Diceros bicornis minor: one gene and its partners. The protein of the gene in region 1 interacts with the protein of each later gene in a biochemical or structural test. Links are inferred from orthologs where the notes say so. Each region holds a gene or a part of one and is shown in the gene's direction. Other genes may lie near its edges.

Region 1 (7,504 bases):
TATACAGATGGCCAACAGACATATGAAAAGATGTTCAACATCATTAACTATCAGAGAAATGCAAATCAAAACTACAAAGAGATATCACCTCACGCCTGTCAGAATGGCTATAATTAACAAGACAGGAAACAACATGTGTTGGAGAGGATGTGGAGAGAAGGGAACTCTCATACACTGCTGGTGGGAGTGCAAACTGGTGCAGCCACTATGGAAAACAGTATGGCGAGTCCTCAAAAAATCAAGGATAGAACTACCATATGATCCAGCTATTCCACTCCTGGGTATTTATCCAAAGAACCAAACATCAATGCATAAAGATACATGCACCCCTGTGTTCATTGCAGCATTATTCACAATAGCCAAGACTTGGAAGCAACCTAAGTGCCCATCAAGGGACTAATGGATAAAGAAGATGTGGTATGTATACACAATGCAATACTACTCCGCCGTAAGAAACGATGAAATCCAGCCATTTGTGACAACATGGATGGACACTGAGGGTATTATGCAAAGTGAAATAAGTCAGAGGGACAAGGTCAAATACCGTATGATTTCCCTCATTAAGTAGTAGATAATAACACAATAAACAAACACATAGAGACAGAGATTGGATTGGTGGTTACCAGAGGGGAAGGGGGGAGGGAGGAGGGCGAAAGGGATAATTCGACACATGTGTGCGGTGATTGGTTGTAATTAGTATTTGGGTGGTGAACATGATGTAATCTATGCAGAAATAGAAGTATAATGATGTACACCTGAAATTTATACTATGTTATAAACCAATGTTACTGCAATAAACAAAAAATTTAAAAAAATGTAATTGAATTTTAAAATTAAAAATTATTATTATTATTATTATTTTTGGTGAGGAATATCAGCCCTGAGCTAACATCCATGCAATCCTCCTCTTTTTGCTGTGGAAGACCAGCCCTGAGCTAACATCTATTGCCAATCCTCCTCCTTTTTCTCCCCAAAGCCCCAGTAGATAGTCGTATGTCATAGTTGCACGTCCTCCTAGTTGCTGTGTGTGGGACGCCGCTTCAGCATGGCCAGACAAGCGGTGCGTCGGTGTGCGCCTGGGATCCAAACCTGGGCCGCCAGTAGCGGTGCGTGGGAACTTAACCGCTAAGCCACGGGGCTGGCCCCTATTTTTAAAAAATAAAAATGGATTACTATTTCTAAAAACAGTTGCAGCAATTCACTTGCATAATATATTTGGTTTATAAAGTTTGCTTTCTTAAAACCAGCCCACAAACAGATTAATCATGATGATTGTTCATTGATTGTGTTGGTTAATTTTATGTGTCAACCTGACTGGGCCACAGGGCACCTAGATATTTGGTTAACCATTATTCTGAGTGTTTCTGTGAGAATATTTTTGGATGAGATTAATATTTAAATTGGTAGACTGAGTAAAGCAGATTGTCCTCCCCAATGTGGATGGGTTTTATCCAACCAGTTGAAGGCCTGCATAGAACAGAAAGACTTACCTTCCCTGGAGTCATAGAGAATTCTGCTGCCTGATGGCCTTCAAACTGGGACATTGGCTCTGCAGATTTTGAACTTGCCAGCCTTCATAAATGCATGAGCCAATTCTTTATAATAAACCTCTTTATGTCTATCTCCATCTTCATCTCTCTATCTGCGTTTATATATCTTCTATTGGTTTTGTTTCTCTGGAAAGCCCTGACTAATGGATTGATCTTAAATTACGTAGTTGAACATCTGGAAACTTGAAGAACTGATATTTTAAATCATCACACATGTAATATAGTCATTGTAAAAAGTTCTCAACAGAAGTATATGTGGAATAAAAAGTAAAAGTCACTCTCTCACTCACTCCTCCTCCAAATTCTATTTATTTACCTAAAGGTTACCATCATGAATACATTTTTCCCAGGCATGTGTCTCTGCATTTACAACCATTCAGAGAATATAAATATACACACACTTAGTTCTGTCCACCTGAACAGAACTATATCATGCAGATTGTTTTGTGAATGTCTTAGAGCTCTTTTAATATGAGTATGTATACATTTATCTTACTCTTTTTAAAGGCTTCTTAATACACTGTAGTAAAGAATGAATACACCATATTTTTTAAACTGTTTTCTACTGATTAAAATTTAGATTGTTTCCAATTTTTTACTTAACAATATTGTAAGGAAAACCTTGTTTGTCTTTCGGCATTTGTGCAACTATTTTTGGTGCGTTGGTGAGAGTATTTCTGCTGGATAAATTCAAAGAAGAGGTATTGGTAGGTCAAAGAGCATACAGATTTAACATGTTAATGATTACTGTTAAAATGCCTTCTATGAATTATCAAAGCTAAAGGTGCTCTTGGGAACCCCGAACGTACAGTAAGTCTCAGAAGTGGGTGGTTTGGGGGACTTGTGAACTTTGCAGCTGGGATAACTAGAATGACCTTGGCTCAGTGAAACATAGTGAAAGTACAGTTTGGGAAAAGGAAGGACAAGAGGGTGGGGGTTGATGAATCTTTAATTCCTGGATTGCTACTGATCTTTAAAAGTATCAGACGTACAGAGACCTGGGGAATATGCGTAGGAAATGGAGCTACAGAGTCTCTGAGTTTATGTGGACTTTGCAGGGTCTTGGGTCTTCATGCTAAAGTGGCTGAATTGCACAGAAGGTCTCTTTGCACAAGGATCCTGCAGGGCAAGATATAAACTCTATGAAGGCAGGGACCATGGTGACTTAGCTTAGGAGTTTATCTCAGGGGGAATGGAAATGCTTTTCCTAGGGAATTCATTCCTTCTTTCAGCACTCAACAATCTATAACTAACCATTAAGAACCAGGCAGTGGGCCAGGCTCTGGAAACACTAAGCTAAGGAGAGCACAGATCTCATGTTGAAGAGCTCAGTTGGCAGGGCAGTGTGTAGAACAAGTAGCAGTTATTATGTGGTAGAGTATGTTAAGGACCGTGAGATACGCAAGTGGTATGCCTGCTCCAGTTTAGTTTCTAGGGGTTGGTGGGTCATCCACATGACTGGCGGGGAGAGGATGGAGCTGGTTTTGGGGTCAGGATCAGTGAAGCAGATTCCTAATTCCTGTTGTTCATTAGTTGCTTTGAACAGTTGGACCTTGTCTTCCGTCTTTCACGGGGGTAAGTTTATCCTTCCTTGTTGCATCATGTCTTGAGTATCACTTCTCAAGGTCAAAGGCATGGCCAGATCAACTCTGAGGAAACTCTCCAGGGGTGAGGGCTGCCCCTTGGGAAAAAACAAAGAAGAGAACAGCTGAAACCATTAGACCAGCTGGAAAAAGCTATGTAGGGCTATGTTTAAAAAAACAAAATGAAACTTACCTATGTCCAAGGTTTTTTACATGCATACTCTCAGGCACAGTTTTTAATTTGGTCCTAAAAACTACCTCATGAGGAAGGGGAGTATTGTTGACCCCACAGGCTCAGAAAGCAACTTGGCCAGGATCACACAGGTCGTGAGTTGCTGAACTGGAACTCAAGTCTATGTCTTTGACTCCAAATCCTGTACTCTGTCCGGAACATCACTGCAGCCTTCATGGCAGCCAAGGCTCTCAGTCTGCCTCCCCTCAGCCCAGCTTCAGACAAGGTGATTGGAAATGGATCAAAGGATGGACAAAGAGAAGAAGGGCTGACCTGAAGGGAACTGAAAGCATTTGCTGCTAAGGGGAAAGCAGAAGAAAGAAAAAGGCACGGAACCCTGGGGAAGGCCTGAAAGCAAATGCTTTCTGGAAAAGGTGGGAAGTCACTGCCCCTACCCCTCCAAGGAGGTGTGAGGAGGGTCAAAAGCTGCCTGGCCCTTCTGGAGAGTGGAATTGAAGTGTGGATGGGAGAGGACCACAAAAATGGGTCTCCATTCTGTCTGGATGAAAGAAGGCAAGAGAAGGAAGGCAGAACTACTATAGGAAAGTAGAAAAAGAGGAAGGGAGGGAATTTAGAAGTACAGTTAGGAAACTGGAGCAAAAGCAAATTCTCATGAAACAATTTGAATTTGTATGTGTTTAAACTTTAGTATCGTCTTGCAGAGCATCCCCAGGTCTGTCAGGTTTGTCAGGTGCCCCCAGTTCTCAGGCCTCCTCCTATGTCTCCCAGTTGCTCCTCTCCTTCAACGCTTCTCCCGCTTGTCTAGGGTCCACTTCTCAGCCCACACTCTCCCCACCCCTCTCCCCTCTGCTTCACACTGCCTGTTGGAATGAGACAGTCTAGCATCATGGCTGTTTGGTCCCCAGGTAGGTTTCTACGTATTGCCAGTAGGATGGAGAGAATTGGAAAATTTCTTGGGCATCTGCCCTTTGAATGAAGCAGCCAGGCTGGGGCAGAGCGAGGGCCAAGGTATTGAAGCTCCCTTTGCAAGCCACTGTGAACTCCGAGCACCCGCCCACTTGAGGCACCCTTTGCAAATTCAGTTTGTGGGAACTGTCAGACCAAGTCTAGGGACTGGGGCTTCCTCAGTGGCCTTATTAGTTGTCAGCCGATGAGAACAGCCTCAAGTTGAGGAAATTGTGGCCAGACAGGCAGTTCTGCTCCCCATCGCCCTCCTGCTGACTCGCGGCTGCTGAGCCTGTGCACTGCGGAGTGTCTGGTGGGATAGGAGCCGGCCTGGCCCCTCTGTCCTTTGGGTATGTTGGGGCAAGCTCTTGCTCTCACACTTCTCCTGCTCCTCAAGGGGCATCAAGGCCAAGGTAAGGAGGTCCAGCCTGGGATGGGTGGGAGCTTGTATGTACTGGGGGCAGTGGCCCTCAGGGAGATCAGAGCCTCTGGATTGTACTGCTTACATGGTCGCCTGTGACTCTGAGCAGCTCCTGACAGCTCTGGACAGGTGAAGTCAGACATGTCAGGCTGGCAGTGGGTTGGGAGGTCCTTGAGAAGCGGATTGGGCCATGCCATCACTAATCCAGGCAGCCTTGGGCAAGGAGATTCCTTTCCACTGGCTTCAATGTACCTTTCTGCATAGTGGGGAGAAAGTGTCCTCCCTGCTGGCTATGAGACGGACAAAGGAAATATCCCCTAATTTGGTGCGATTACCAGCAGAGAGGAGAAGTGGCCCCCGGGCTTGGGTTTCACGAGAAAGTTGAGTGGTTCTGCAGCTCAGAGACTGACAGATTGCTCCCTGTCAGGGAGGGAAGCTGAGCACTGAGGAGGGGAGGGCAGGCCAACAACCAGGACAGAGGCTTAATCTGCATGGCCTGGCCCCTCATCTCTCAGCTCTTCCAGCAGCCCAGAGGCCATAGAAGCCTGAGAATTATTAGGACAATGTTGGCTTGGGGCAGACAGCAGGGAAGGGGGATAAGGAGACAATATTAGGAAGCTCCACAGCAAACGGAAAGCTGTCAGCTGGGTGTCAAGCCATCTCATGTTTACTTGGGGGGATCTCAGCTGTGGGCTGCTCCCCTCATTCTCCAGCCCTGGAGTCTAGGGTGCTCTGAGACTTGGAGCCTGGAGTGACTCTTTGAGGGGCAGCGTGGGTGGGGGTGGAATGAGAGGAGGGCACACTTGGGTGCAAAGGGAGGAAACTGAGGCACAGGGTGTGTGTCCAGGGCCTGTTAGAAGCCCGATATGGAATAAACTCCCCTCCCTGGGTACTTAGTTCAATTCTTGAGCCTCCAAGCGCTCTGGTGTCCTTTAGGAAGACACAATCTAGGCTCAGGTGGTCTTGACATTTGTGATGAATACAGGCAGAGGAAGGCAGAGCGTGACTAGGAACTGGGAGCAGAATGAGAGAGGTCTGGAGCCTGGGGCTCATGTGTGTGGGCTGGTGGGACCCAGTGACCCAGGATCCTAGGCAAGAGAGCCAGGTTGGATCCTCGGTCTAAGCAGCCTCGAAAGTGCCCCAGACAGCTGGGGTAGGACTGAGGGGATTTTGTGCCTGGCTTTGGAGATGAGAGTGACAGAATGTTGAGGCTAACTCTGAGATCATGAGCCTGTGTAACACGAGGACGATGCTCCCTCTGTCCCCATGCCCTGGGCTGCAGCACTCTCTTTGGGCATGGCTATGCCAGACCACTGCAGGTGAAGCGGGCGAGTGATTCTTTGGGCATAAGGAGGCATGGACTTTGGTCTTAGGGAACTTCTCTCTCTTCTTGCTATGTCCTGTATCTGTGGGCCTGGCTGGTGTAAGCTGACTGAAACTGCTCTATTCATTTATTTTAATTTTCAAGCTTTCTAGTTTGAAATAATTTTGGAGTTGCAGAGAAGTTGCAAAAATAATACAAAGATTCTTGAATTTCCTTCACCTAGATTCACCAGTTATTAACACCTTATCACATTGGCTTTATTTCTCTTTCTCTCCATATATATGTGTGTGTATATAAATACATAGTAATTATTATTTTTGCTGAACAATTTGAGGTTAAGTTGCAGACATCATGGCCTTTACTCCTAAATATTTTAGCACATATCTTCGAAGAACAAGGACATTCCTATATCATATCATATCATATCATATCAGCACAATTATCAAATTTAGTAAATTTAACATTGATACAATCAAATACACAGCCCATATTCAAATATTACCAATTTTCCCAATAACATGCCTTATGGCATTTTTTTCCTGATCCAGCATCCAATCAGGATCATGCATTACATTCAGTTGCTATGTCTGAGCTTTGCAAAAATCTTCCAGAGGCTTCTCACTTCAAGCGGAGTAAAAGCCATACATTTTACAGCAGCCGGCCTCCCTGGCCATCTCCCCTTCCTCTTGCTCACTGCATTTCAGCCACACTGGCTGCTGGTCCTTGAACACCTCCACTCCAGGGCTTTGCACTCAGTGTTCTCCACCTGGAACGCTGCTCCTACCCCACCCTCACGGCACCACGTGCCACATGGCTTCCTCCCTCAACCTCTCAGGATTCTGCTCCAATACCACCTTCTCAATGATGCCTTCCCCTCTAAAAATGTCAACCCTGCCATCCTGCAACTCCTTATCTCCCTCTCCACTTATTTTTCTTTGTAGTACTCGTCTCCCTTTTAAATACTACACCGTTTCCTTATTTGTTTTATTTTCTGTCTCCCAGGCTCTTCTTTCCCTCGCTAGAAGGTAAGCTCCTTGAGGCAAGGGCTTTTCTCTGTTTTGTTCGTGATGTATCTTCAGCATCTAGAACAATATCTGGCACAAGTAGACACTCAATAAATATTTATTGAATGAATGAATACTTTTAATAATCCTGGAATAGAGTGAGAGTTTATCTGTCTACTAGAGAGTTTCACTGGGAACAGTTGTTCTAAATTTTAAACCAGAAACTATCTCTGTGGCCTTGAGGAAGTTAACCTCTTGTTTCTCAGTTTTTCACCCATAACTTGAAGTCAGCAGTGGTGCTTGCTTCATAGGGGTGTGTGAGGATTAGACAAGACAGAGTATATAAAGTGCTTAGAAAAACATTGAGTTATAACAAATACCCCAAAATGAACACTCATGTTATTCAGCTCTTTGGAGGCTGGGCATATATTTCACTTAGTTTTGTAATCAGAGTCAAGAAGAGACTATTCAGTAATACTTTGTT
Region 2 (7,733 bases), on another chromosome or scaffold:
CAGAGTTCTGCAGAGAAATAGTGCCAATAAGATGTGTGTATATATATATATATGTATATATATACACACACATCTCTCTCTATATATATAGAGAGAGAGAGAGAAAGAGATTTATTTTAAGGAATTGGCTCATGTGATTGTGGAAGCTGGCAAGTCAAAAATCTGCGGGGTGGGCTGGCAGGCTGGGGACCCCGGGAGGAGTCGATGCTGCAGTTTGAGTCTGAAGGCCATCTGCTGACTGAATTCCCTGTTCTTTGGGGAACCTCAGTCTTTTTTTGTTAAGGTTTTCAACTGATTGGATGAGGCCCACCCACAACATGGAGGGTAATCTGCTTTACTTAGAGTCTACTGGTTCAAATGCTAACCACATCTAAAAATATCTTCACAGAAACATCTAGAATAATACTTGACTAAATATCTGGATTCCGTGGCCCAGCCATGTTGATACACAAAAATTGACTATCACAGCTCCCTTTGCTTTTGGTGACTCAGTGTCACCACTTTGATCCTCCCCTGTCAATAAGATTCAGTGGGGGACACATCCGTCTCTCTGCCCAAGCTGGTAGGCAGTGGGGAGCCCTGGGGTACAGTGAAGGGCTTCAGTGAACACGGGAGGGGAAGGGAAGCATGATGATAATACTTAGAAATATTGTCTGGTCATTTGTGAAGTCACTCTGCATCTCTGCCTCCTCCCCCACCCCATGTCCCTACAGCTGGGACTTCATGGTCCATCTCCCAGCTCAGCCCCTTCTCAGCCCCTGAAAACCACTCTGCTTCCCGTCCAAGGGGGAAGGACCCTGGACAAGTGGCTTAATGGTGGTCCCCATTGTACCTCTCTCCTACCCTGCCCTGATGCTGTCCTGAGGCTCAAATGAAGAGTTCTAGCCTCTTGGGACCTGACCTGACATGAGTTTTCAGCAGCAGAATCCCTCCTATCCCTTGGTGCCTACCATGTAAGCTCATTTCTTCAACACTGAGGTTTTGTCTGTTCTTCCCAGAGCTTCTAGAGGCAGCCAAGTGTCCATGACCCAGTGCCTGCCAGATCACCCTGACGCTGCTCACTGCCTGACTCCCTACAAATTTTCCAAGCCCACTCCAATGTTGGGGACTGGCCAGGGCTGGCAGTGCAGTTGGGTGGGGTGCCCACACGAGCCCCGACCCCAGTTTTCCCCTTTGGCTGCTTTCCAAACTTCTGCCCTACATGTGGAGTTGACCATGGTCCAAAGAGCTCTGAGACTCAAGCCTATGGGATCTTTCTGGAGCCACATGGCTGGGTGTAGCTCAGGGGAGCAGGTCACTCCTTCTGACCAGTGTGGTACTTCTTTTGTGTGATGGCACAATATTGGGCCTCTAGAATGGTGCTGAGATCCTGATTTGGGATGATTCTCATGTCAGATACAAGACGAGCTCTGGCTCTGAGCTGCCCATGGGCCAGGGTCAATCTTTGACCACACCATGTGAGGGCCCACAGATTGCCTCTCACCTACAGCACTCCACCAACCGTGCTGCCTCCATTCAACAGCACTGAGGGCAACATTGATGGTGGCAGATGTTCTTTACCTTCTGCATCCCTGCCAAGAGCACCGGGGCAGTCACTCCATCCCCTCTGGAGGCTCGCATCCAGGTGTCAGGCAGCATTTCCTCCAGTGGATCTCGAGACCATTGCTCAACAACACCTATGGGCTCTTCCAATCAACCGAGGTTGAGTTCTCCAGGTTGATCTTAATCATGCCAGGTGCAGGGTGGACATTCCTTGAGAATAGAACTGCTCTCTTGTGTGGAAGGCAGGGGTGCGGTCATCATTGAAAGAGATCACAACACAGGAATGTGGTGATTATGGCCTAAAATTCAAGAGAAGATGGTTGGAAGGTGTATTGTTCTACATTTGTGCTATAAAATTCAGAACAGTAGATTTAACATACTAGAAAATGAATTATCGTTAACATTTGCTTGCATGCTCTAGGTAAGATATGCATTTGTGGTTATCAATGAAGCAAAGGAACAATCTCAGAGGGAATGGTTGGGGCCCAGTGTGCACGGGTGGCACAATGGCTGAAGCAGCATCACTGGTAATGACATAACCAGCAATAAAAAATGTGATTAGGAAATGCAGAGGCAAGAAAAAGATCTATGTCGTGTCAAAATGAACAGGTTCTGAAGAGCCACAGCACCGTGAATAACAGCAGCATGGCCACCCTCATCTCGCTGTACGAGATACGACACCAGCCAAGAATGGTCATTTAACGATAAATGGGACCGGAACAGGAAGAGAGGACCTGGACATCATGAAGACTCTTCAAGGGCACTGATTGGACGTTGAACATATACATAACTACCTCCTTTCTATCTGTTATTCTAAATCTTCATTGATAGATCAATATACCTCCCGTGGATCCATGAATTTCATAATACAAGTTTTAATTAAATTGTTTATATAGACAGGGCCCTGCCAAAAATATTTACTCAGGCCCCACCCACCACAAGGGCAGCCCTGATCTAGATGTTGGGGTTTTCTGAACGTAGGGGGCAGAAGGGCAGGGGGACAAGGAAGCTGACCATGTCGGATGGCTCAGACAATTGGGTTGGGAAGGAAGTGATGATGGGATGGGAAACGTGTGTGTCATGTATGTGTCAAAGGGAAATCACACTGGAGTCAAATGGCAGGGAGGGTCCGACTGCCCCGCTGTCCCCCGTGACTCTGCTGAGATGTAGGACTCAGTGGGAAAGAGATGTGAGAGAGGGAGTGTGAGAAGCTGGAGAGTGTGAGGGAAGATAGAAATAAGTGGGAGAATCTCAGACACGGTGGAGGGTCTCTAGGGATGAGCTGGTCAAGGTACGGAGGGGCCAGGATCCTCCTGATGGACTCTAGAGTGACCAGGGGACTTCAGGCCAAGAGCAATGAGGAAGTTGGTGGAGATCAGCAGGGAGGCGAGGAGAATGGTGCAAAGTGTATGATGAGAGTGTGGAGGCGGCGTGGGGCTGAGGTTGGGGCAAGAGAACGAGAGGCCACCACAGCAGCTGCTGGGGAGTCTGCATCCCCAGAGCCAAGCTGGCTTCGGGCAGGCCAGAGTGTGGAGGCCAGCTCTTATCCCCACCGTGTCGCCAGGCTAGCTCAGGCTTGCCCAGAGGGCCCTTGATACTATTGGCTGCAGGTTTGGGAGTTTAGTCCTTGGGGTCAGTGGGAGGAGTCAGGGGAGGGGACAGTCATCAGGGGAGAGGAAGCTCAGAGCTGCTTGGGGAGGAACTGGCTTTGGGAGGTGGAGTGAGGACGGGGGAGTTCTCTGGGCTCGAGTTACCAAAAGGAACTTCTCCTGGAGCCCAGAGAGGGCCTGAAGGCGAACCCGCTCTGCTCTGGGCCTCAGAATCAGGATGCGGTCAGTCCATCGGGATGAGAGCGCTTTGTTCGCTCAGAATCACCCGCTGTGTGTGCTGCTGCAGGCAGGGCTGATGGGGGCTCCAGCACACAGGAGTGCCTTCAGGGGCTACTTTCCTCAAGGGAGAGAAGAGGAAACCGGGGCTCAGAGAGAGATGAAACCTGACCGGCTCCTGCAACTCGAATGCAGGGGAGCCGAGTTCGAATGGAGGCTTGCCCCTGGAGGGGGTTCTGTTGTCATATCCGGGGGGGCCTGGATGTGGGATTGGGGGTCCACCCCTTGTGCAATAGGTTAGCACTTGCCCCTTCACCCTGGTGGGCCTGACCCAAGGACAGAGGGCATCCAGTCTGGGGTCTAAGGGGGTGGGTATCCACTTTGGAGCCCTTGGAATCTGCTGGTCCTGAGTGGTGGCCCCCGGGAGGCAGCTCCCCTTTGAGCCATGGGCAAACGTAGCCACGCCTGGCCTCGGGGGAGACGCAGTCCCACCGGCCACCCCAACTCTGTTGAAATGTAGGACACAGGAAGCAACGTCATCTTTGGCCAGGGGGTCAGCCTGCCGGCGGGGAAGTGTGGGTTTCCCAAATGTCCTGAAAAGACCCAGAGCTGAAAACCCAGCCTGCGTGCATGGGGCAATGGAGGACAGGTCACCCAGGCTTCCTTCTCACCCACCAGCCCCGGGGGACGAGAATAAAGGTGTCACAGAGCTGTCACCTGGGCCATCAGAGCCCTCAGGTGGTGTCACTCAGCTCCGCCCAGCTCCCAGGGCTGTGTGGTGTCTGGATGGCCTTGAGTCTCCAGTATGGGGAGAGGGCTCAACTGTACCCCTCCCCCTAAATTTGGCTCGGCCCCTGGGGCCAGGCCTTGTCCCAGATGAGAAGCTCTGCCCTGGGATCCTCGGTTCCTTGGGTAGTTTTGGGGAGGTGAGGGGGGCAGAGAGTTGAAAAGCCCTGGGGTAGAACAGAAAGCGGAGGGATCGCTCCAGGGCGGGGCCCTCCCATGTGAGCATTGGCACAGGCCCGGGAACAGCCGCTGCTTTGGCCCGTCCAGGCCTTTTAGGCCACACTTCTTCAGAAGTCAGCCATGAGCCTCCTGTCACCACAGGGGCTGACAGTTCCCGAGGAGGACTCGAGCTGACGTTTGCCCCTCTGCAGACCGAGACTCACTGAAGGAAAGAGAAAGGGCGGGAGGGGGAGAGGGAGGGGGCAGCAGGCCCAGGGTGGGCGGGGTGGGAAGGTGGAGGACCAGACGACTCTCTTGCTTGGGCTCTGCAATGAGGAAGTTCTCTGCAGCTCGTTTCCTTTCCCTCGCTGAGTGCCTGAAACAGGAAGTCGGTCAGTGAGCTGGTGGCAGCAGCCGGGCCAACCGACAGGGGACAGACAGCAGGTCCAGCTCCCAGAGCAGGGGCCTCAGCTGCCCTCGGTGGCACGTTGATCCTGGGGGTGGCCGCTGGCCCAGCCCGAGGAGGCCCACGGCCACCATGGTCCCTTGCTGGAACCATGGCAACATCACCCGCTCCAAGGCCGAGGAGCTGCTCTCCAGGACGGGCAAGGACGGGAGTTTCCTCGTGCGCGCCAGCGAGTCCATCTCCCGGGCGTACGCGCTCTGCGTGCTGTAAGTACAGTGCTCCTCACCCCGAGCCCCTCTGCCGGCCTCCTGGCCTCTCCTGTCCAGGCACAGAGATGATGGAGGTGTGACTATTGGGGTGTAAAGCCAGCTGGGGGCTTAGCCAGGCGCCTGGCACTGGGATGGGTTGTTTTTATGTCATGGGATGGAGTGGCCTGGCTCGCACACTCCCCGGGGTTGTTGGTGGGTCCAGCTGAGGCCCATTGCTGACCTGCTGGCCTTGAAGTTGAGGGATGGCAGCGGTGGAGCCCTCCAGAGCCACCCTGGGGCCTGGTCACACATTCCTCTTGCCCCTGAGCCATGGTGCCAGGGGCTTCCTCCGGGTTCCAGGGACCAGGAGAGGGGGGCCGGGGCTCTCCGAGGCAGGCGGAAGGTCAGGGCTCCATGGTGGTGGGTGTGTTAGAAAGCAGCTTTGTCCGCTCAGGTGTTGGTCAAAGATGTCCAGTTTGGAAACCCTCATGGAATAGCAGACGTGACAAAGGGGGACCCGTCTTGTGCCCAGGCTTCGGGATCCTAGAGGAAGCTGTTGTCTGGGGAGCCACGGATATGGGGTGTGTTCACTCAAGAGAGGACTTTCAGTTCACCCAGAAGTTGCATTCGGGCCCTGAGAGCAGAGGAAGTCACCATCACCAACAGTGAGAGCCTCTTCTCTCGCTGCCCTGGCACTCAGCTGCGTTCCCCTTCCCCCCCCGCCCCGTTTGGGCCTCTCTGCCCCCATCGACTCCCCCTGCTCCCTGGCTCTGGCATGTTGCTGAATGTGCCCGTTGTCCTAACAACCAAGGAACCAGCCACCTGCTGAAGATTCCTTTTTAGAACACCCTTCTTGACCCGTGTCTGAAGGAGGCCATCATCCCTGCAGCCCTGAGGTCTAACCATCCCTGCGCAGGCCTTGGGCAGTGCCAGGGCGCAATGGGGGAAGGGTGCGTCCACCTGCACCTCGGAGGTAGCGCCCCTGGGCTTGCAGAAATGTCCCTCTGAGCAGGCAGGAGGGGAAGTGGGTCACTGAACACAGACCTGTTTTGAGAATCGAGTCTAAGCATTTGTCCTGCGTTATCCCATTTCATCCTCACAACAACCTGAAGGGCAGGTCCTGTTATCGCCCCACTTTGCAGATGAGGACACTGAGGTTCAGACAGGTTAAGTGAGAGATGACAGTCAACCTGCTGCCCCCAGAGGGGGCACCCAGACAACCAGGCTCCTGCCACTCCACTCCCGCCCGTCAAGCTGGGTGTGAGTGTAGGTTCCGGGTGACAGCAGGAGAAGCCAGGGTGTTTACAAGGGCCAGCTGGGAGCATTTAGAAAATAGCTCAGGCTCACAGCTGGCCGACCGACCAGCCTGAGCCCTGACTGCGTCAGAGGCCCCACCTCCCAAGGTCCGCTTCCTGCGCCCCCCACTCTCACCCTCAGGGGAAGGGACAAAGGCCCCGACTTCCCTGCAGCACTGCCCCTGTGGGGACCTGCCAATGAGGCCTTAGAGACAGTGGTGAGAATTAGATCTGACTCCACTTGGCCCATGTGGATTTCTCTCCTGCCCCGGCGGGACTTGGCAGAGGGCCAATTTGGTTAGGTGTTTGCTGTGTGCCAAGAGCTTCCGGGGCTCTGGCTCGCTAATGTAACCTTCACAGCAGCCGTTTGCTCAGGGCGCTGTGGTTGCGCCCAGGTTACGGTCAGGGAACATGAGTCTCTCTGACTCCAAACTGGCAGCATCACAGCAAGCCAGAGGCAGAGCTGGGCGAGGCCCTGGGGACCTCTGGTCCAACAGCCCCTGAGTTTGCAGGTGAGCGGATGGAGTTCTGAGAGGTCGAGGCCTTTGTCCACACTGCCCTGCTGGCTGGTAGCAAACGGAGATCCAGGCCTGGTTTCCAGTATTCGTTCCTCCACCCCTCCTCCCCTCCCCTCATCTGCACTGAGTTACTCTCAGAGCCTCGGCAGATGTGTGGGGTCTGCACCTTAGGGGTAGTGCCCATGGTACCCACAGATGTCCACCATCCTCATAGCCCAGGCCTGGACTTCTCCTCAGCCTCCCAGCCCCAAGATCTCTTTGGCTCCCACACCAGGGCCTGGAGCCCTCCCGGGGAGTCCCTTCCCTTGGCCAGACCCTCACCCTGGTCTCCCCTTTCTCCTCTGCTTTGTGGGGGAAGCCACCTTTCCTGCAGGAGCAGGAGCCACTGTGGGCTGTGGGATACCACACACCACCAAGCTTTCCAAAAACCTGGAGATCTGCCACCATCCTTAATTTTGGCAGTTACGGAGACTTAAAAACTAAAAACTAACTAAATGAATGACAACTACCTACCACCTTCCAATGGCTCATTTCGTGAAAAAAAAAGCATCCTTTAACACCAAAAAAGTCAGGAAAGTCATACTCCTTAAAAAAAAAAAGCCAGTCCTTTAAATCAAATAGATTTAACTGTCCTGATCCGCAGTCTGGCGCTGGGAGCCCTGATGGTGTGAAGAACAACTGGGCTTCCCTCAGTTTCAGAAGCAACAGGCTTCACCCCTCTGCTGCCTCTCTGAAGTCAGCAGAGAGTGCAGGGACCCTGCGAGGTGCAGCTGTGGAGTCAGGACCATTTAATGACCCTGCTTTAAAAGTGAGCCAGGACTGCAGAAGGAAGCCACAAAGACTGGCCCTTCTGCTCTAGAAATATCCATAAGGAAAAAGACCCCCCCAATCCAGGGTGCCCAGACCTCATCCTGCCTGGGCCCCAGTGGGCTGGAGCCTCTTCCCAGGCCCTC
Region 3 (7,731 bases), on another chromosome or scaffold:
GTGTTCTATTACTTTGGATGGATAAGCTGATGATCTAGATTACAGACATTTAAGCCTGGGGAAATAGATCTTGACTCTGTAAGAGCCTTCCAAGATATACTAACCAAAGAGGCCCAGGCTAAAACAGTGTATCTGATCTCATAAGGCATATAGATAGACATAGACATGCTACAAGTCAGGACATGGGAACATTTGACACTTGAAAAGTGTAAGAAGAATATTCTAGAAGTCAAAATTACAGTTGCTAGCTGGGAGACTGAAGCCCGACCAATTCAGTGCAGTGACCTCAGAATTAACATTGGGAGGCAGAAGAGAAGAGTGGTGAAATGCACAGGCTCTGAAGTCAGTGGCTTGTGTTCAAATCCTGGGCCTGACACTGACCAGTTGTGCCACCTTGAGCAAGCTACCCAGCCTCTTTGAGTTTTGGCTTTCCCATTGGTAAAATGGGGATAATAATAGTATTTGCTTTATAGGGCTGTTGATATAAATAAATGAGACAATACACGCAAAGTGCTTAGCAGGAATGGCTGGAATGTAGTATGTGACTAACAAATATTAGCTATTATTCCAAGAATAAAACCTTAGAAGCAGGCAGAGCTTCAGCTAGAATTAGGGAGCATCCTCTGAGTCATGAAGGAGGTAAAATTAGGAGAAGTAAAAGGAACTGTACATAGCAGACGGAAAGATAAAGAACTTGCTGTCTTCAGTAGATCGTGCAGATTTAGAATATAAGTTGGGGGCTGGCCCCGTGGCTTAGCAGTTAAGCGCGCACGCTCTGCTACTGGTGGCCCGGGTTCGGATCCCGGGCGCTCACCGACGCACCTCTTCTCCGGCTATGCTGAGACCGCGTCCCACATACAGCAACTAGAAGGGTGTGCAACTATGACATACAACTATCTACTGGGGCTTTGGGGGGGAAAAAAAAAAGGAGGAGGATTGGCAATAGATGTTAGCTCAGAGCCGGTCTTCCTCAGCAAAAAAAGAGGAGGATTAGCATGGATGTTAGCTCAGATCTTCCTCACAAAAAAAAAAAAAAGAATATAAGTTGAGTTAGATGTCCCACTACTGTGTCCCTAGAACCCCATCCTTTCCTCTATCACAGCTCTTATTAAGTGAATTGTAATTGTTTGCTTGTCTATCTTCTTCACTAGACTATGAGCTACTTGAAGGCAGGTATGTGCTTTTTTTTTCTCTAACCTAAGTACCTACTACAGTGTCTGTCCTACAGTAGATACTCCTAAATGTTGGTTGAAAGAATAAGCATATTTAAAATAGGCTTAAATAAACACACACAACAACCCTGACTCTGGCTTCTCACTTACAAAAGGGCATTCGAAAAATTAGCCTCATAGGTAAAACCCAGATCTTATCAAAAGGAGGTGCTCTTTTTTTAAGACATTTTTTTTTCTTTTCTCATTTTTGTAAAGGAAGTGAATTTTAGTAAGTGCCGAGAGAAGGTGTAAACTCACCACTGGTGACAATATCATAACACTGTCACAGGAGAATTCACACCTATAGATGAGCTAGTTGAAGAACAAAGTTAGTTTTGAAAGGTTAGAGAAAAGGATTTTGAAATGTCAGATCCACTCTATAAAATTGACCACCCTTGGCATCATCCCTTTAATCTACCTGGGTTTGAGAATAGCCTAGAGCATTTGAAATGAAGACAATTAGCACCTCAGACAGGGCATCCACATGTAAAATTCTGTCACCTCTCGGAGACCTCAGGAGGTGTCAAGTTTAGATAAGAAGACACTTTCAACCTTGGCTGACAGTTTGTCAGTGCTTTTATATTTGATTTAAATGGCATCTGTATTCTAAAAGGTTGTACTTTGCTTTAAACTGTGAAGCCCTCTTCCTCCATCTCATGATTTTTATTTCTTGCATCATTTAAAAACAACAAGAATAAAGATCTTTCCTCTATTGGGTGAGACCTGAGGAAACAGCTCTTGCTTCTTGCACACAAATGAGCTCAGTCCTTTTCCCCTCTGTTTCTCTCTAAAGTACGTTCGGCTTTTGTTTAAAGCACAGAATGTTAAAGCTGGAAGTGGCCTTAGGGGTCATCTGGTTCAACTCCGTTTGACAGATGGAGAAAATGAGACTCAGAGAGAGGAAGTGATTTAGTGGCGAAATATGGAATATAATTTGACTCTCATAATTGCTGGACTAGTCCTCCTTCCAATTCATCTTGCCATTTCAAAGGTGGGCCAGAGGCATGGAGAATCAAATTTGTGTGTGTGTGTGTGTGTGTATTTTTTTCTCTTATTTTCTTGAGAGCACTAAGTTCATTCATTTGTTCACTCATAAATACATTTAGCATCTAATATGTGCCAGATGCCGGCTACACAGTGGTGAACAAGGTACACAAAATCCTGATGTCATGGACCCTATGTTCTAGTGGGGAAGACAGACAATAAACAATCAGATAAGTCCGCTTCTAAGTGGATTATACTTGTATTTGGGGCCCATTCTTCCTAACTCTTTCTCTATTGGTGCCTCCACTATCTCTACTGCTCCCCTCTTTCAGCTTTTCCCCTTTCCTCTCTTGTAGGTATGGTGAGAGAGAAGGAAGAGAGCCATTTCAATCTCTCTTTCTCCACACTTCAAGCTCAGCGTGAAGTTTTGAATTTGCTCAAGTCAGGTTTAGTAACGGTGTAGCACTAGAGTGAAGATGTCAGTGTTTTTCATCAACACTGCAGTAGTGGGCTGGCTCAGCTGTCAGCTTGCTTGTGAGATGACAATGAGGGACTGGATGTGAGAGTTGTACTATTACCTTATAATTTGTCTGTTCTTTTATTATACGATTTTAGTTGTGCTGAACCCCACCGTACCTGGGTGCTTTGACAGCTGTGCTATTTTAGCAATACGGAACAAAACAGAGAACGAAAAGAAGAATGCATGGTACGCTTTTGCTGTCAGATCCAGGTTGCTCTGTTCTTAAGTTTGCGGATGATTTGTTCAGGGTTGTTCAGAGACAAAAAGGCTGGAGTTTTCTTTTTACCTATGTGACACTGAATGTTCTCACAGTTTACCTCACAGGCGGGCTGTTGTCCATATGGATTGGATGAGGGGATCCCCTTCCCTACCTTTTCCTTTCGTGTTTGAAATTCCACCATTGTGATTAATTTCTCTGGGCTAAGCATTTGCCTGCTCAAAATATAAAGATTTCAGGGTGGACTAACCTCTCACATCCTTAACATTGGTGTATTATCAGGTCAATTTCTTCCTTAACCCAAAGCGTGAAAAAGGATGAGAGGTGGAGTTGGCCATAAATGAATGAGGTAGGAAGATGATAAGACAATCTTGATTCAATTCCCCAGAGCCATCCCCAAATATCATCTTGAATGCTATTTTATTTATTTATTTTTTAATTTTGGTATTGCAAATGACTGTAGGAGGCTTATGTTCATGTTTTATCTACTAAGATTGATAGATTCTAAGGCTGGGCATACTTCAATCAAGAAGGAGAGCTGCCAATGAAATCTTAGAGGATTATTCTCAACCCTAGCGGGAGGATAGCAAATATCTAGCTTTGGTGCAAAGGCAGCTCTGTGCATCCGATCCATTGGTAGGACATGTGAGGACTTAAAAATTGTTCTCCCTTTCGAACTCCCAGCCTTGCCGTGTTCTCAAGGAACTAGGCGCTGAAGTTGTGGAAGATATACAACAGACAACGTAACTTCAGCTATTTAAATTCCAATTTTAAAAGTATTTTACATAATCAAAAGGAAAAATGTATAAGACCGTTCAGCTTCAAGCATTAAACAAAGTCTTATTCTAGCGAAAAAGGAGGAAGTTTACGGGAAATATTACTTAACAGCACATTTTGAAATAAAAGCATGGCTTTATTTCAGAGAAGGAAATGAAGGTTGAAAGGTTTTAAAAAATTAATGATAATTTAGCATCAACTGGAGAAAAAACATATTCTCTATTAACAACAGAGGATAAAAGTTACAACACAATTATCAACACTTGCAATATGATTTAAAACAAGTTTTATGCCCCAAATTCTGAAAGGTGGGCCCTATGACATCAGAGGGCATATACAAGTCCACATAAAGACAAAACACCACTAAATGATACATTCTCTCATTCAAGGCCCATCAAATAGCTAAATCTGGAACATGTCTGGACATAGAGTAATTTTTGTACCTCAAGCAGCACTTTGGGATCTTGGACAAGAAGGTAGGAAAAATCTGTATTTGTTCAAGATCAAGATTGCTCAAGAAGACTAGGAGGAGCAGAAGAGGAGGGGGCCTAGGGAGGGAGAGAAGATACTTGCCCCAAGTCCCTTGTTCACCTACTACTTCTGATTCTGTAGGAGCCTCCTGGCTATGCTCAGTTTTGGTCTCAGAGCTTTTGGCCCTTTCATTCTCTGTCAGTATTTTTCTGCCCGCATGAAGGCCATGTACAACTTGCCTCTATCATCACTCCCTTTTGGGAATAGTTAAGCTAAGTCACCCCTGGTGTTCGGTCCCTGGGAAAATGCAAGAACAGAAGCATTATCAAGCATTCCTGCGTGCAAGGGTCTGCATTGGCAGTGCCGCCCACATCTTGCAAGGACCTTCTTCCAATTGTCCTCCCCTCTCCGTATGAACCCTGTTTTTTTTTGGGGGGGGCGGGTTAGGAGGGGCGAGTGGGGAGGGGATCAAACCCTGTGGCGATAACCAAGCTGCTGAATCGCTGAGCAGGTTTTAATTGAAGTGTGAGAAGGAGGTTTTAAGGCAGGTAGACAACATCCTGTTGTTAGGGCGCTCCCCTCTCTTTTTTGCACATCTGGCTGAACTGGGAGTCAGGTGGCTGACTCGTGCCTGGTTGCCATCCCTTCAACCGTCCCACGCCTCGGCCCGCCCAAGAGTCCACCAAGCCATGGATGCGGTGACTGTGTATCATGGCAAAATCAGCCGGGAGACCGGGGAGAAGCTCCTGCTCGCCACGGGTCTGGACGGCAGTTATTTGCTGAGGGACAGCGAGAGTGTCCCGGGCGTGTACTGCCTGTGTGTGCTGTGAGTACGTCGCGGCCGCGGCTGGGGCTGGGGCCTGCAGAGGGCACGGGCAGCGGGCACGGGCAGTGGGCACGGGCGGCGGGGGGCCAGAGGCCTCAGTAGGCAACGGGTGGGCAGCAGGAGCTCGTCGAGGCCTCCTCCACTGCCCACCAGAGAGCCCTAAGGGCTTTCTCAGAGCCAGCCCAGGGCTGTGGTGGACCATGCTTTGGCCTAGGCCCCCAGTGGAGATTTCACTCCCTGGGCCCTCCCGCTCTCCAGAAGGGCCTCGCCCGGGCCGTTTAGGGCAGCTGCAGAGAATGCCCTTTGGGGTAGGGAAACGCAGCCTAGAATTTACCTTTGCTCCGAGAAAGACCCAGACTCCCGAATTCCGTTTTGACCTCCATTAGAGGCCAGCAAGCTGGAACCCTAGGAGGGTGGACAGGCCAGATTTGGGGCCACCAGCTCCTGAGAGAATGAAGGGCCTCTCCCTAGATCTCTTTAAATGGATTCGGAGGTGTCATGTGAAAAGAAGACCATCACATTCAGGGAGAGGAAGAAGACTAAGAAACTGAATCCACTACTAAGAATGCAATGCCAGTTAGGTCAGGACGCCGAGACGGAGATGTTTGTGAGTGAAACTGACTCTCTGGATCTGCTTATTTAGCTTCCTTTAGAGGAGTTGTGTGGGGGCAGGGGGTTTCAGAAATAAGACCCTTTCTTGATATAAACTAGGACTGACAACAGTCGTAAAGGGCATGGAGGGAAAACACCCTTGTTGTGATTCAACTTTGCCGTTTACCTAGGCATGTCTTAGTCTGACACCTCATTTTGAAGCAGATGCACCTTCATCTTTGCTCCAGGGCTCCAGAGTCAGGCAGAACTGAGACTTAATCCTGTGCTTGTCCAATGCTAGGCTTGTGACCTTGGCAAGTTAACTTCTCAGTCTCTCAGTTTTCTGGTCCATAAAATGGGTATAATATGACTACCTACTTCATAGGATTGTGAGGATTAAATGCCATAATGCAAGTAAAAAATTTAGCACTGGACCTGATACATAGTAAATGTAAGCTGTAGTTATTAATATATGCTTTTCTTCAGTCGATTTCTTTCAGTACTCATGGGGCATTTCTAAGGAAGTACCTAGCTCAATCACTTTTTGTCAGCAGGATAAAAATAGCCATGAAAAGACTGGCTCTGCACAATAGGTTCTAGACAGAAACAAAATGAGGGAAAATTCTTGGTAGTAATTTTGGTACCTAATGATACACTGTGAGCTTTTGAAGTACCCTCTGGGTCAGTGAAGAAAGATTATGCTGAGGTGTTAGAGGATTTTCTTTATTTTTTTAAATGGTCAAGCCATGTGTGGGGCAACTCTCAGGCCATGCTAAATACATTTATTATAAAGGCTTCAAGGGAAGTACGTGGAAGCCGTTGAATCTCTTGGGCTCAGATCTTTATGTTTTGCTTATATTATTGTTTTTCCCAGGTGGAAACTGGGCAAGGTCAATGAAAACCAACTAGTATTCTTAGGCCCTTTTCTTATCAAAAGAAGGTGGAGGAGTGAGTAGGCCAGCAAAAGGGGCTTCTTTAGGGAAGCTGACGTAGGAGGTAATGGGCCCCTTAACCTAGAGGTCAAAAGTAAGGTACAGAAGCCTGGGCAGGGGAGGGAGAGCAGGGGACAGTGTGTGGCAAGATGCGCCTAAGGCTTCAGCCACACTGGCCTTTTTGTTGTTCTTTAAGCTTGCCAGGCATGCTCCCCTCTTAGGATCTTTGCACTTACTGTTCCTTCCGCCTCGTCCCTCAGAGAGGACTTCCTTGACCACCCTATCTAAAATAAGTGCCCTCTCTCCGTCTCTGTTACACTCTATCACTTTATTTTATTTTTCTTCAAGGAGCTTTAAACTATCTGACATTTCCTTGTTTATTTATTTATTGCTAGGCTCTCCTGTTAAAAAGTAATCTCCACGAGGGCAGGGACATTTTCTCATGCACCAGGAACACAGCCTGGCACATAATAGGCATTATGATGCACATTAGGAGGTATGTAATGGGCACTCAATAAATATTTTTGAATTAATGAATGAATTGTCAAGGCAAATACTGTTCTTTACTGCAAAGAGCTTTGGGCTGATATCAGGAGGCCAGGGTGTAGTCTCGAGAAGTCACTCAACTTTTCTGGGTCTTGGTTTCCATATTTGTAAAACAGGAATAGGGATGTGTGCCCCACCTTCTGCATAAGATTACTGTTGGTAAAATATTCAAGAGAGGTGGACAACTCTAGGCCTTTGCCCATGTAGGCCAGGACCACATATGGAATTAATTTAGGCTGGTGGGAAATTCTCAAACATTTAAGTTTTCACCCAAAGTGAATCTTACATAAATGCAGTTTTGATGACTCTTAGTTCTCCATGCAAACCTCTTTATGAAGTAGCAAAAAAATAATAGGCAAATTGGGAGTCCGTCTAGCATGTCTTTTGATGGGCGCACTGGAGCCACCACGTCTTAGAGGGTGATTGCCACACTGTGCTGCTGAGGGAAGACACAAGGATACATTGCCTTTTATGACAGTTGCTCAACCTTTTTGAGCCAAGAGTCCCTTTTGATAAACGTAAACATTTTATTCCCCCTTTTTAGTACTACACTGTAGTAACAAAATTAAATTTTATTTTGAAATAAACCACGTACTCATTTTAAACAAAAATGTATATGCTTATGATATGCAGTAGAAATAACAATATAAATGGTG

Evidence for each region.
Region 2: the proteins of CD244 (region 1) and INPP5D interact in a biophysical measurement, tested with the Homo sapiens proteins (2 studies listed by IntAct). The link is inferred for Diceros bicornis minor from reciprocal best matches to the Homo sapiens genes CD244 and INPP5D.
Region 3: the proteins of CD244 (region 1) and SH2D1A interact in a biophysical measurement, tested with the Homo sapiens proteins (2 studies listed by IntAct). The link is inferred for Diceros bicornis minor from reciprocal best matches to the Homo sapiens genes CD244 and SH2D1A.

What each region holds. Positions count from the first base shown.
Region 1 is NC_080743.1:65,400,648-65,408,151, reverse strand, and holds the start of CD244 (natural killer cell receptor 2B4), read left to right. Parts: upstream 1-4,485; 5' UTR 4,486-4,623; coding exon 4,624-4,684; intron 4,685-7,504. UniProt on the Homo sapiens protein: Heterophilic receptor of the signaling lymphocytic activation molecule (SLAM) family; its ligand is CD48.
Region 2 is NC_080776.1:21,220,530-21,228,262, forward strand, and holds the start of INPP5D (phosphatidylinositol 3,4,5-trisphosphate 5-phosphatase 1), read left to right. Parts: upstream 1-4,715; 5' UTR 4,716-4,851; coding exon 4,852-4,985; intron 4,986-7,733. UniProt on the Homo sapiens protein: Phosphatidylinositol (PtdIns) phosphatase that specifically hydrolyzes the 5-phosphate of phosphatidylinositol-3,4,5-trisphosphate (PtdIns(3,4,5)P3) to produce PtdIns(3,4)P2, thereby negatively regulating the PI3K (phosphoinositide 3-kinase) pathways.
Region 3 is NC_080781.1:114,107,061-114,114,791, forward strand, and holds the start of SH2D1A (SH2 domain-containing protein 1A), read left to right. Parts: upstream 1-4,713; 5' UTR 4,714-4,869; coding exon 4,870-5,006; intron 5,007-7,731.